2 linked regions of the Caenorhabditis elegans genome follow. The protein of the gene in region 1 purifies or fractionates together with the protein of each later gene. This does not show direct contact. Each region holds a gene or a part of one and is shown on either strand. Other genes may lie near its edges.

Region 1 (5,947 bases):
CGGTGGTTTTTAATATTTTTCTCTTCATCAAAGCTTTAATTTCAGTGTGCTTTTTACTTTTTTACCCGAAAATACCGATTTTAATGAATGTTTCTTATTAATTTTCTATTAAATTCAGCTTTCATGAAATTGGCAATAAACAAGCCATAAAATATAAAATTTGAACGAGGCGCCATTAACGTCTGTCCAATGGAGCATGGTTGCACACCAGCAAGTTGTCGTCACTGAATTGATTTCTCAATCATTTTTTTGCTGTGAAAATGTTTATTTTTATATATTTTTATCTGATTTTTAATTTTTATTAATAGCAGACTTTAAATTGAAATTATTGAAATATATTCCAGTGATGGAACCAACGTATTACGGCCAGGAAACGGAAAATACTCGACAACGATCGAACAGTAATGCTGGAGGAAGCCCCGATGAACAGAATCCACAATTTGGAATGCAAGCGCAATTGGGAAAGATGGTTTGTTTTTTTAAAATTAATTTAATTTAGAATATAAAACGAAAAAAAATAATTCAAAAAAGTTTCGGTTTCTTGAAAAGAACCTTGATTGCATTAAAGCATTTTTGATTTTCAAAAATTCAGATGTGGGAAGCTGGATCAAAACAGGTTCAAGACACATTTCAATCTTATGGTCGTATCGATTTGTTTCGCCCTTATTTCGATGTCGATCCAGCAGAGGTTTGAAGAAAAATTCACAATTAAGCTTTAAACATGTATTTATAGGTCCGAACTCGTCTTATTCGGTCATTTATCCCACGAAAACCATCGCAAATACAAGTTTCACCGGATTTATATGGCCCGACTATGCTCGTACTCACCATGGTGGCGCTATTGCTGTATAACATGAAAACCAGCGGGTTCGTGTTTATTTTTATCTGTTTTTAGTAAAAAATCAAAATTTCAAATAAAATAAAAATGATTTCAGAATTGTAATTCAAAATGGAACGTTAATGGGTACGGCAATGTTCACATGCTTTGGTAGCTGGATGCTCATTTCTGGAGCACTTTGGATTGCGTGCTTTTTGTTAGCTGCTGAGCAACCATTTTTAACGATATTGTCGAGCTTTGTAAGTTAAAAAAAATAAATAGAACACCAAGAATAATTGTTTTCAGGGCTATTCTCTAACTTCACAATGCCTCGTACTTCTGTTAACCTCGCTTTTTCACTCATCTCATGATCATTTATTCTTCTTCGTGCTCCTCGCCAGTTTCTGTGTACCTTCAGCGTTAAGAATGGTTAGCTTAAAATAAAACTGAAAAAATAAATAAAAATTTTGAAATTCAGGGCCTAATAGTGTGCAATCAGTCTCGTCTTCCCGCGAATCGACTTTTACTTATTGGAATCGCAATTGCAGCTCACTTATTGCTGATCATCTATCTCCATTTCGGTTTCCACGTAGTATTAGAAGGTAATAATATTTCTATTAGAAATTTGTGTCTTAAAAATGTAAAAATTCAGAACTCGACGAAATGGTTGGAGATGCCATCGTGGATGTGAATGCTATCAAAGAAACACTTCCAGTCGCATAATTATAGTTATTTTTTTATTTTTAGCCAACGAGATGTATACAAATTGTGATGATTTTCGCTCATTTAACACGGGATATTTAATGATTTTATATTTCTTGATTCTATGGTTGTATTATTTATTGTTTTTTAGTCCTTATTTATTAAAATCTTCTCCGAACATGTATTAAACTGTTTTTTTTGCTAATCTGAAAGGTTGAGAGCCTTGTTCTATATTAATTATATTTTAAGTTTTCAGATTTTCAAGACATTATTTACAGAGTTCCCATGTCAGTTATCAGCGAGCATCAGGTCCAACTCTCGAGCTTCGATCCCATTGAAAATTGTGTGAAATCTACGTGTCCAGGATGCAAATCAAATCGAAAATATTTCTGTTATGATTGTCGAACTCCTATGCCCGGAGTTTTTACGCCAACTGTAAAGCTTCCCTGTGCCGTCGACATCGTCAAGCATCCAATGGAGAAAAATAGTAAAAGCAGTGCTCTTCACTGTAAAATTGTGGCTCCTGATCAAACTCGAGTCTTTGATTATCCAAATGTTCATGATTATTCACAAGATTCTGAAGATGAACGGCAAGGAACTGCAATCATTTTTCCGAGTAAATCTGCAATTTCTGTTGAGGAATTTGTAAAAACAAGAGGACCGATCAAACGAATTGTTGTATTAGATTGCACGTGGTTTCAAGTTGGTGTTATGCAGAAGACACCTCAAATTCAAGGTATATACTAATTAAAATCTTAAATCGTAATAATAATAATCAGATTTTTAAGGACTCCAACACGTATCTCTTCAATCATACCGTACTGCATTCTGGCGGCCTCAACACAACGTTCCCGAAACGGGTCTCGCCACGATCGAAGCAATTTATTATTCGCTTAGAGAATATCAAGAATTGGGTCTCGGACGGAAATATAGTGGAGAATTCGATGATCTTCTTTATTGGTTTTTCCATACAAAACATTTTGTCGATGGGAAACAGGCTGATTATTTGAGGCGGAAAGATGAAGAGAGAAGCGAAGAAAAATAATATTAAATGCTTTTCTAAATTTATTTAAAAAATTTTTCAGTTTTTGTTTTTTCATTGTTGAATATTTGAATTTTGACTTGTTAGAAATCTCAGTTGTTGTTTGTTACTTTACACTCAATTCTTTCTCCTCTGCGATTTTCCTCGATTTGCATGACCGGTTTCCCAAATTTTTCCACACATGTGAAAGAATAAAAAAGAAAATGTTTCCCTTCCGTCGTATTTTTCTATTTTTAATCGTTTAATCCACTTGTTTTAAAAACAATCGAACATACTTTTGACGAGTCTTTCAGATTATTGATTTTTTCAAAGAGAATTCCAGTTATGTTGAAGCCGTTGTTCGGAAAAGCGGACAAAACACCCGCCGACGTGGTGAAGAATCTGCGGGATGCATTGCTGGTTATTGATCGAGTGAGATTCTTTTTTTAAATATCATTTTTATTTATTTTAAATTTTCCAGCATGGAACCAACACAAGTGAGCGGAAAGTCGAAAAAGCTATCGAAGAAACAGCGAAAATGTTGGCATTGGCAAAAACGTTCATTTACGGATCAGACGCAAACGAGCCGAACAATGAGCAAGTGACCCAGTTGGCTCAGGAAGTTTATAACGCAAATGTGCTCCCGATGCTCATTAAACATTTGCACAAATTTGAATTCGAATGTAAGAAGGATGTGGCATCGGTATGTGGATTCTAAAAATCAAAAATTATATAACGCAGTCACGAAATGTTGCAACTTTCGCACCAAAAATACGGTACGCGGTCTTGGCACGATACGTTTTTGCGAAATGTAAAAATTTAACAAGTTTCGATGAAAATATACTTATAATTATTTTTAAAAAAATTAAAAACACTCAAATTCGTGATAAAAACTAGATATGAAAATTTCGCAGCAACAAAAGTTTGAAAATACAGTACTCCTTAAAGGCACACACCCCTCTGCATTAAAAACAATTGAATTCGTCATGTCGAGACCGAGTACCGTATATTGGCGTCTGGTTGATATCAAGCTCTGAAAATTTTATATTTTTTAAATGAATAAATGATAATTTTAGGTGTTCAATAATTTGCTCCGTCGTCAAATTGGAACAAGATCACCAACTGTGGAATACTTGGCTGCAAGACCAGAAATTCTCATCACTCTTCTTCTTGGGTTAGTTCAAAGTCTAAAAGTTATCCAAAAAAAAAAAATTCTCTAGATACGAGCAACCAGATATTGCCCTGACATGCGGTTCGATGCTCCGTGAAGCTGTCCGCCATGAGCATCTTGCTCGAATTGTTCTCTATTCTGAATATTTCCAACGGTTCTTCGTTTTTGTTCAATCTGACGTTTTCGATATCGCCACTGATGCATTTTCTACATTCAAAGATTTGATGACAAAACATAAGAATATGTGTGCAGAGTATTTGGATAATAATTACGATCGATTTTTCGGTGAGAACTTTTGATATATTAAATAAAAAATTATGTTATTACAGGCCAATACTCGGCGCTCACAAACTCAGAAAACTACGTGACCCGACGCCAATCGCTGAAACTGCTCGGCGAGCTTCTCCTCGATCGACATAATTTCAGCACAATGAACAAATATATCACAAGTCCAGAGAATCTGAAAACAGTGATGGAATTGTTGAGAGACAAGAGACGGAATATCCAGTACGAGGCTTTCCACGTTTTTAAGGTATTTCTTTTGATATTTCAGATAAATATTTGGATTGAAAATAAAACAAGTTATTGTATGTGAATCAAACATCTTGAAAAATGGTTGAAGATGAAAAAAAGTCTTAAATTGAATTTTAAGAAGAATAAGTTTATTAATTTTACATCTTTACGTTTTATTCCAAGAAATTTAAGAAAATTTCCAAAAAAAATCTATAAAACCCCATAATTTCAGATCTTCGTCGCGAATCCAAACAAGCCACGTCCAATCACTGATATTTTGACAAGAAATCGTGATAAACTCGTAGAATTTCTCACTGCATTTCACAATGATCGAACTAACGACGAGCAATTCAATGACGAAAAGGCGTATCTCATCAAGCAGATACAAGAACTTCGTGTCTGATTACGGAATGTGACAAAAAATATTTTATTTAATTCTCACAATCCATATGTTTTTATTCCAATGTTTTATTTCTTTGTGAGTGGCTTTGTGTAGTGCATCCTTATCCTTATCAATATTCAAAAAAAAACCACAATTATCATTTGTGAAATTTTCGGGGGTTACTGTAGCTATAATATTAAGATACAGTAGTACCTCCCCGCCCTCCAATCGCCAAAAATTTTGTTCCATCCACACCTCGCTTTAGGCATCGATCTTTACCGTCTTTCTCTGCAAACAAAATATAATCGTTCCTTTAAAAGAATCCCCCATATTAAAATCATGTACGAATACAAAAATATCCATCCCCTTTCCGTCTGTTTTCCCTCTTATTTTACGGTTTTTCACATGTTAAGTTAAGGTTTATTTCCTTCTTCATCAAAGAATTTGATTTTCTCGCTCTATCCATGATCATTGTCTTTTTTTTTTGTTTTATGATATTTCAAACGATTTCTTGATTCTATTTTTATGACTTCAAATGTCAGAAACATCGATTTTTTAGCATGAAAATTTTCAAATCAAAGACGCTATAACAGTTCTCTTCTCATTCGACATCCTCTTCACATGCTTTTCGATAATTGATTTTCCCATTTTTTGATCTATAGTTCGGAGGCACTCAATCGCCTGGTCACGGACTTTGGGATGGGGAGAGCAGAATAACATCTTCAAGAAAGTTGACTTAAATACAAAATTTATTTTAAAATTTACCCCAAGCATCACGGGAATCAATAAATCCATCGACTTGCTCAGATCATCATTATTTGAATTTTCCGCAAGAATTTCCTGAATCTGAACGAGTGTTCTTGCTGGATTTTGAACAGAAGTCGGCTGAAAATTGACACATTTGCAAAAATTGAAAAATTCGCTTTTTGAAATCGCGCTCCAATGCCAAATAGAAACGCTCCGCCCTCAGGCGTTGGGTCTCGTTAGGTACGGCGGCAAAACTGAATTCAAACGTTTTGCTTGAAGACGGGTGAAATCAGGAAAAAATAATTGAAAAAGTTTGAATGTACGGATTTGCCGTGAATACCTCACGAGACCCAACATTTGGGGGCGGAGTGTGTCCAACTGGCCGTGGAGCGCGATTCAATAAACGCATTTTTATGCGTCTCTATAATAAGACGAGAACGGTACGGTAGATTGAAAAGTTTGACTCGTGCAAAGACCATCTTTCTGCGAAAAGTAGCAAAACTTACTTTATCAGCTTTTGCAACGATTTGTTCGTTTTTCTCCTTCTTTTTCCCACTTGGTTTCGATTTTTTGTGATTCTTCATTTTTTCACGA
Region 2 (8,178 bases), on another chromosome or scaffold:
AAGAAGGAAATCACATCAAAATTTGAAAATCTATAAAATTTGTAAGCACCAAAAAATCAACTCACCAAAAGTATTCATCTTCCATTGAAATAGAAAAGCTCGCTGTTTTTTTTTTGAAAATGTTCCGTATTTTTATTCGTTTATTGTGAAGTATTTCGCAATTTCTAAATCAATGAGTAACTAACATTTTGATGATGTTTGTTTCTAGTTCTGGAAAACTTTATCAGTGAATGATTGCTGCCATGCATTTGAACTAGAACAGTTGACGTTGAATATTTAAACTACATATTTCAAGACCTAATTCCTAATAGGAACAAGCATTTTCCACAGTCTCGTTTAATTTCATTTCTCATTTTCAAATATCATATTCTAGTAAAAACTAGTTTAAGAAGGTTCATCTATGATGAGAAAAATATCGGTATCTCCTTTTATGAGTCAATGCGATAATATTGACATTACGCGCATCGGATCAAAATATAGAAAGAGAGAAGGATACGGTTTATTATCAGAACAAATAAGAAAAAGACACACATATGGACAAAAACCCAGGAAAAAACAGAGAAAGCTCTCTGCATCGTTCACTTTTCTTATCATATCATCTTATTCTTTCCAAATAATGAAGCTTTTTCCAATCTGGAATTGGATTTTTAATAAGATTATCATTTACAATCACTTACCGATTTGAAATAATTGTTTCTATTCCTTTTTCTTCTCTCTTTATTTTCTATATCAATATCACAAAATCCAGCAGGTTTTCTTTTTGAATTTATTGGAACGCTATCATCATCTGGTTTAAATTCATTTTCAAAATGATACACGCTGGATTCTTCTAAAAAGAAAACGTTAAGAATAGCTCTTCCAACAATATAATATAATTACCTTGCATTTTTCGAATTGCATAGATGCACCATGCTCCACACAAAAGAAAAATTCCAATCGTGATAAATGTAACGACCAGGCAGAATAACTAAACATAAATATATTTGTAGGTTGCAACAAATTAACTTACTAATTGATCATTTTGATATCTTGAAATTAAAACTTCAACATTATCGAACACTTCAGTAGTATTATTCATTGTCAAAGAGTGAAAATTAAAATTTGAAATGAATTAAAATTGTTATTATCTTTTTTTTGAGAAAAATTACGTGGAGAATTTGATTTTTTTTGAAAAATTTCATGTAAAAATGTAAAAGTTTGTTTTTTGTTATTTCCGCAAGTTTTGGCAGAACATGTTCAAAAAAAATTTGATGTCACTGAAACTTTTCCACATAAATTTACAAAATGACCGGGAAGTGATATTTCCGAATCCACTGATTTTACATCTAGATTTTAAACAATAATGAGGAGACCCTGCCTGTTCGTGAGCTCTAGGCTCGTTCCAAACTTCCCAATTTAAATTTTAAATTTTCAAAGAACTGGACGATATCAGGGATTGTAACGCATGTTTATTTTTGAATTGGTGACATAATACAACAAAAGAACTAGAGATTCATTTTCATTGTAACTTCTGTTGTTGAATTATTTTCTCTAGATGAAGATCACACTCTTGCGAATCTAAAATCAGAATAACATTATTTTTTAACCTAATTGACTTCTCTTACATCAGTCAAGTATTTGACAAATCCTCCCACTTCTTTCACTTCTTCATTTTCAACTTCAACAACTGAAAAATCAGAACCAGCAATTGATCTTGAATTGTCATCGATCACAACTGTTTCATCATCTTTCACATTTCTTGCAGCCAGCAGACACCAGAGTCCACACAGAATTGCAAAGAAAACACCAAAAATAGTGAGTAAAATCATTGTCCACTGTAAATTTTTAAAGGTTTTTTGCATCTAGAATTGAATTCTCGCAAAACTTATATATATATATATATAAGCTTATATCCTTATATCAGTATATCCTTATATCCTTATATCAGCTTATATCAGCTTATATCGTATAGGCCTCCAGGGTATATTTAGCTTTATTCCACTTACAGTATTATAGTCATATTCTTGTATGAGCTTAATGTGAACATTGTTGAGAATAACAGTAGCTGCAGTAGAGGTGACATTAGGCGACATTGTCGAAATTTGAGTCACGGAGATAATATTGCAATTGCCTGATAGATGTTTCGAAATAAACTTTAATTTCTGTTTTTTTTTTCTAAACTAACTTATTAGAGAATAGTTCAAGGGTGTTACGGAAATATTCTTGATTTGATGTTGAACACATTTTGGGAATTTTAAATTATATTTTATTATTGTAGTTATCATTCTTATACAGCTTCAGATTTTGATTCGGAGACACTTTTGTCGTCTTCTTTCAGACGATAGGATGCACACAAGCACCAGAAACCACAGGCAATCAACAAAATAACGACCAGATTTATGAATAGCATATCCAGAAACTGCAAAATTTCAAATTTTCAGGACAGGAAAGTTATAACTATATCATAACGTTAAGTGACTTACTTGAAAATCATAGTATTCATTTTTTATTCTAAAAATGGCATTATTCAACGTTTCATTAGCAGCTGTAGAAGTGTCGTTAGAAGACATTTTCGTTTGGTTGATTGTTTAAACTTCAGAAATGAAAATTTCAATTAACATTTCCAAGCAGAGCTTGACGTAAATAAATATTTGAAGTATTTAGAAAATCTCATAGACACTTTTTATTTTATCGTAATAACACTAAATTTTTACATGTCTTCTTGAAGGCGCACGGATTATTACAGATGGGTCTTGGCGCGCAAAAAGTTTATGGTAGTTTTATTTAATTTCAGAGAATGCTTCACTATTTATTCGCCTTGCATTTTTCAATGAAAGTACTTCGTTTTTAGCAAATTTTGTAGGTTTTTTATTGATTTTCTGTTAAAATTGTTCTAAATCTGTCTTCTACAGTCTTGAAATCATAAACATTTTTTATTTAACTACCATAATTTTTTGCGCCTTTCAGTTGACATTTCAAAATCTAGTGAAATTACGATATATCCTGCGAAAATGGTCTTCGTCTCTTCGTCACTGACCATGATGCACCATCTCTTGAGTTTTCACTGCGTTTCCACTCTCTTAGACGTATCAATAGAGCGACAATGCATTGAGACCCTTCTAATTTTTTGAACAGTTTTTATCGCCGGACTTGTGTTTTGCAAATAAAAACAGAAACGAAGGCTGTTTTACAAATTCAATTAGATGAATTTTCAGACTTTGATTATATTTTAATTCGCCTTTGTTCATTTTCTGTAAATTTCACCACAATTTCGTGTCTACGGAATTAATTTTCGTCAGATCGCGTGTTGCCTCCTTTCAATTATTGTCTCTGTTCGACCACCAGATGTCTTTTTAATTCGATCGTTTGCGCTGTAGCATTGTTCCTTCGTTTTGTGTGTTTTTCACACTTCAATCGATTTTCAATAACCTTCAAAATTATCGTTCCTATTGATTTTTCTCTCTTCTAAATTGCAATAAGGTTATTTTCCAATTTTCAGAATTAGTTATGCCGAGAAGAAGATGAATCGAACGTTTTCCTTGCGCCGAAAAGTCAAAAAGTCGGAAATTTCAACGCCGAGCAATTTCGAACATCGAATACACGCTGGATTCGATGCAAGATCAGGAACTTATACTGGACTGCCAAAAGTACGTTTTTCTCAACTATTTTTTTCTTTAACTTGAAAAAAACTGCATGAAAAAATGTATGAAATTCGTTTTCCGATTTAGTGATTCAAAAAACTTCAGAAAAGTTCACTAAACACTTTTCAGCAATGGCAAGCTCTTCTTGGACCTCCTCGATCAATATCAAGACCGAAGCCAATGGTCGATCCATCTTGCATTACACCGGTAGACGTCGCTGAACTGAAAACTGTAATTCGAGGACCATCTTCAAGGTAACAATTGTTTCTGACAATTTTTTGTAATTTATTTTCAGTTTCAGATACAATTCACCACTCCCCTTTGGTATGACAAACTCTCCAATGCCAAGTGTCGCTAGAAGCAATAGTCTTCGAATATCAGCAACAGCTTCACCTGTTGTTAATGTTTCATCTGCAAGACATTCATTCCGTCCAACGCTTCCACCAGTCAGTCAAAGAGGATATCCATTTAATGATCCAAGTTATGCTCCGTTACCTCTACGCAATCAGAAACCACCAATGTCAACAACATTCGGAGTAGAGAAGCCACATCAGTATCAACAAATAATAACTATTGTTGCACCATCAAGAACAACGACTCCTCAATTACAACCCAAATCTCCTTCAACGCCACAAGCCATGCGTCAACAGCCGAAATGCACTGAAGGTGTCAGCGATGAAGAGGTATGCATTTTCTAATGGGGTTATTCAAGTAATATAGCAAAATGTATTTAAATACATTTGTGACGTCACAAATGTATTTAAATACATGTTTTTGTATACTTGAATACAGTTGTGACGTAATTTTTCTACAATTTTTAATTTTCCGACACTACTTGAATAACCCCATAAAAAAAAACATTTTTTGACAAACGTTTGAGACAATGTTTCACTAAAACTATTGTTTTGACTTTTAAAAAACTAAATTCTATAGAGACTTTCTTCTCAAAAGATAAATGTATCATTTCTAACAATACGAATAAAAACTGCGGAAAATATAAGACAAATATTTTTTCTTGTCAAAAAACAATCATATTTCAGTTTCGAAATGCGCTGAAATTCGTAGTTGACGGCACGGATCCTCGTTCGGATCTCACAGATTACAAACAAATCGGAGAAGGATCAACAGGAGTAGTCGAAGCTGCATACAAGATATCAACAAAACAAATAGTCGCTGTGAAAAGAATGAATCTCCGGAAACAACAACGCCGAGAACTTTTATTCAATGAAGTATCAATACTTCGGCAGTATCAACATCCCAATATTGTTCGATTCTTCTCTTCTCATCTTGTTGATGATGAACTTTGGGTTGTGATGGAGTTCATGGAAGGTGGATCCTTGACAGATATTGTGACTGCAACTCGTATGACTGAGCCACAAATTGCTACCATTTCAAGGCAGGTTCTTGGTGCTCTAGACTTTCTACACGCAAGAAAAGTAATACACAGGTTGGTTTTATTCTTGAAATCACCTTAATAAATGTTATATTCAGAGACATAAAAAGCGACTCAATTCTACTGAAGCGAGACGGAACTGTGAAACTGACGGATTTCGGTTTCTGTGGTCAACTATCTGAAGAAGTTCCTCGTCGTCGTTCGCTTGTTGGTACGCCTTACTGGACAGCTGCAGAAGTTATTGCTCGTGAACCATATGACACTCGTGCTGATATTTGGTCTTTTGGAATAATGCTCATCGAGATGGTAGAAGGAGAACCGCCGTTTTTCAATGATCAGCCGTTTCAAGCAATGAAAAGGATACGAGATGAACATGAAGCAAGATTTAGTAGGCATGCCAAGGTAGGTAGAATAGGATAACGTTAAAAATTCAAGCAGATAAAGAAGAATTAAATGAAAATTTTATTTTAGTATACTCGAAATAGTCCCATATGTTTTAGTACCACAATACAAACGAAGAGAAAATCAAAAAAGATTTTTAAATTAATTGAAAAAATGGTCAACTCTCGAAAACGCAATTTTCAACTTTTGAATAGAATTTCCTCCAAAATCAGAACTACAACCAATCAATGAACTGTCCACTTTTGAGCCAATCAGATGATTTGTGCGAGTGGGTGTGGCTTCTCATTTTGGAGGAAATTCAAACATGAAAGTTAGCGAGATTTGAAAATTCGCGATTTTCAAATTTCAAAATTGTGCGATTGTCATACTTTTGCTATGTGGTATTCGAGAATATGTAGAATTATAGAGTAAAATCCACGTTGACCGTACTCCACCTTTAATTCAATTTTTTCAAAAACTACTAAGTTCTTTCAAAACGCAGTTTATTTGAAATATCTAAAATTATATTTTCCAGGTATCTGTGGAACTCTCTGAATTGCTTTCACATTGCATTGTCAAAGATGTTAATAAACGGTGGCCAGCTAAAGATTTACTTCGTCATCCATTTTTTGCAAAAGCTCAGCATTCTTCATCAATTGCTCCTCTCCTTCTACAGTTACAGGGTAACACGATTAATGGAAATAATCCACCAACTCATCATCACTCATCTCAAATAACTACAGTAATTCAATGATGTTTTTTTTCTCATTTACACCATCTCAACATGCATCATTTCACATTCAGATCAGTATTACCCCTTTCCTTGATTGATTTCACCTTGCTATTATTGTATGTATGTATTGCTTGTATGATGATGATAACTCATTAGAGAGACACCACACTGCCTTTTATGCAACATTTTTCATGTACTTCACCCCTAGAAGAATGTTTCTTTTACGGGTTCATTTTCTCGGTTTCTTCTCCTCTCACAAATTAACATCATTTTAATATTCTTTTTTTTTGTTTTAATAAATCAAAATACAAATATTGGACACGCGTCCGAACAAGAAGAACTCTCAACGAACTTTTGGTTTCGTTTTCTCTTTCATCACTAAAAACAAAGAATCCTGACGCGGCTGCTCTTCTCATCTCGTGTCATCTCGGGAGCCCGTGAAATTTACCAATGTCATCTCGCCTCTCCGGTGGCCTGCCGGCGGCAACTCCGCTTCTCATCTTTTTGTGGATCCGTACTCGTTGCCGCCGCGGTGCTCCGGCACTCCTCATCACAATTATCAGCTCGTCTCAATCAGTATCCCGTGGTCCGTTTGTCTTTCATTCCGGTGCTCTCGTCGTTTTTCGGCATCTCTTGCTCACTTTTTATATCAATTTTATAGCCTCAGGCATTTTTATTTTACTCATTTTCATTGAAAATGGCTTCAAATTGAGAGCAGCAATAAAACAAGGTCAATGCTCTGAAAGTACAATTAGTTCAAACTTCAAATTAATTTCAACTTCAAATAACTTATTTCCCATTTTTCCGAAGCTGTTTTCCGGGCGAGAGATGGGTGAGTTGAAACCCCCATAGAATCCCTATCTACGACAATCAAAACATAGGTCACGTTTATCACGGGCTCCTCGTTTTCAACTATCGTAATTTCGCGAAATTTAGACTTATCAGTTTAAAGGCGCACGCTGTTTTTCCGAGAGGGTCCCGCCATCACCTGAGTTATAGTTATAGCTACAGGTATCAAATTTTAAAGATTTGTTCATTTGATGTAGCACAGGAAGTTTTAAAAATTCCAACTATGAGAAAACCAGAATTTTCATTAAACATTTAGAACGTACTGTCACGTTACCGCCGAAAGACGATATAGGTATTTTTATGGTTCACCTTAAAACTAACTTCCATATAAAACCGACTCCTCGAAATTTTTCTACAAAACTCTGAACAGTACTCACAATTAATTAAAACAAATCTTTTTAAATTTGTAAGATTTCAATTTCAAATGATTTATGTTAGACTCGAACTGTTTTACCTTCACCCAGTTACATCCCTATTAGATACTTAAAATGGTGCACATGCCGCTTATAAACATTTGTGAAATTTTAGATGTGCCTTGTTAATTTTCCCTCGCGTCTTTTCATTTAGAACCTATGCGTTCTGCTCAATTGTTTGTTGTTCAATTTTTTCATAGTATTGTTTGTGGAGTGGCAATAAGTTTGCATCTCTCACATGATTGTTTTTTATCCTCTTATTGTCAAACTTCATGTCAAATGACCCAATTGATATATTCTAGCACTTTAGTTCAATTGATGATTATATCAGTTGACTTGATTTATTAATATCAAATACACCTCTTCTAATAGATAATTTAAATTGGTATTCACTGTAGCTTCATATAACTAAAGCATCGTTGTCATTTACTTTTGACAACTAGTTGATTAGTGAGTGAACATTATCTTTTTTACTGGAGGTATGACATCTTTCATCATCATCTTCTCGTCTCTTTAAAACTCATTGACACTCTCAATTGCTCACTTCGGCCACTTGTCAGTTTCAAATCAAATCAAATTGTTGCAGGAGGATCTGGAGAGAGATAGAGATCAAGACACATCAGAACAAGAAGAAAAAGAGCCAGACGACACAAGATTGGGTAGAAAGCCCAAAGAGCACAAAAAGTGGTCATTGTAGGTGTACTTCCTTTGCTCATTTTCATTCATGTTCGCTGGTGCTTCTTCAACGCTTAGTTTGCGGAACCGGGTGAGTAGTTTTCTTTTGAAAAA

Evidence for each region.
Region 2: the proteins of Y53C12A.10 (region 1) and pak-2 fractionate together in Caenorhabditis elegans (co-fractionation; one large-scale study listed by BioGRID). This does not show direct contact.

Annotation. Positions count from the first base shown.
Region 1 is NC_003280.10:9,700,638-9,706,584, reverse strand, and holds Y53C12A.10 (tRNA-uridine aminocarboxypropyltransferase 1), read left to right. Parts: upstream 1-1,738; 5' UTR 1,739-1,804; coding exon 1,805-2,255; intron 2,256-2,307; coding exon 2,308-2,564; 3' UTR 2,565-2,773; downstream 2,774-5,947. Other genes in the region: Y53C12A.3 (Protein YIPF), read left to right, coding at 347-469, 593-688, 734-867, 936-1,077, 1,124-1,246, 1,296-1,419, 1,470-1,540; mop-25.2 (MO25-like protein 2), read left to right, coding at 2,886-2,972, 3,022-3,243, 3,617-3,714, 3,761-3,996, 4,041-4,243, 4,457-4,627; Y53C12A.7 (HEAT repeat-containing protein), read right to left, coding at 5,177-5,326, 5,372-5,491, 5,860-5,947.
Region 2 is NC_003283.11:11,034,724-11,042,901, reverse strand, and holds pak-2 (Serine/threonine-protein kinase pak-2), read left to right. Parts: upstream 1-3,478; 5' UTR 3,479-3,500; coding exon 3,501-3,626; intron 3,627-3,749; coding exon 3,750-3,874; intron 3,875-3,915; coding exon 3,916-4,303; intron 4,304-4,660; coding exon 4,661-5,067; intron 5,068-5,111; coding exon 5,112-5,415; intron 5,416-5,929; coding exon 5,930-6,148; 3' UTR 6,149-6,440; downstream 6,441-8,178. Other genes in the region: C45B11.2 (uncharacterized protein), read right to left, coding at 66-85; C45B11.5 (uncharacterized protein), read right to left, coding at 601-633, 678-829, 880-967, 1,010-1,078; C45B11.8 (uncharacterized protein), read right to left, coding at 1,531-1,557, 1,605-1,814, 1,986-2,072; C45B11.9 (Ac108), read right to left, coding at 2,267-2,398, 2,463-2,549. UniProt on the Caenorhabditis elegans protein: Serine/threonine-protein kinase which plays a redundant role with pak-1 in embryogenesis but, in contrast to pak-1, is not involved in commissural axon guidance of ventral cord motoneurons or in distal tip cell (DTC) migration.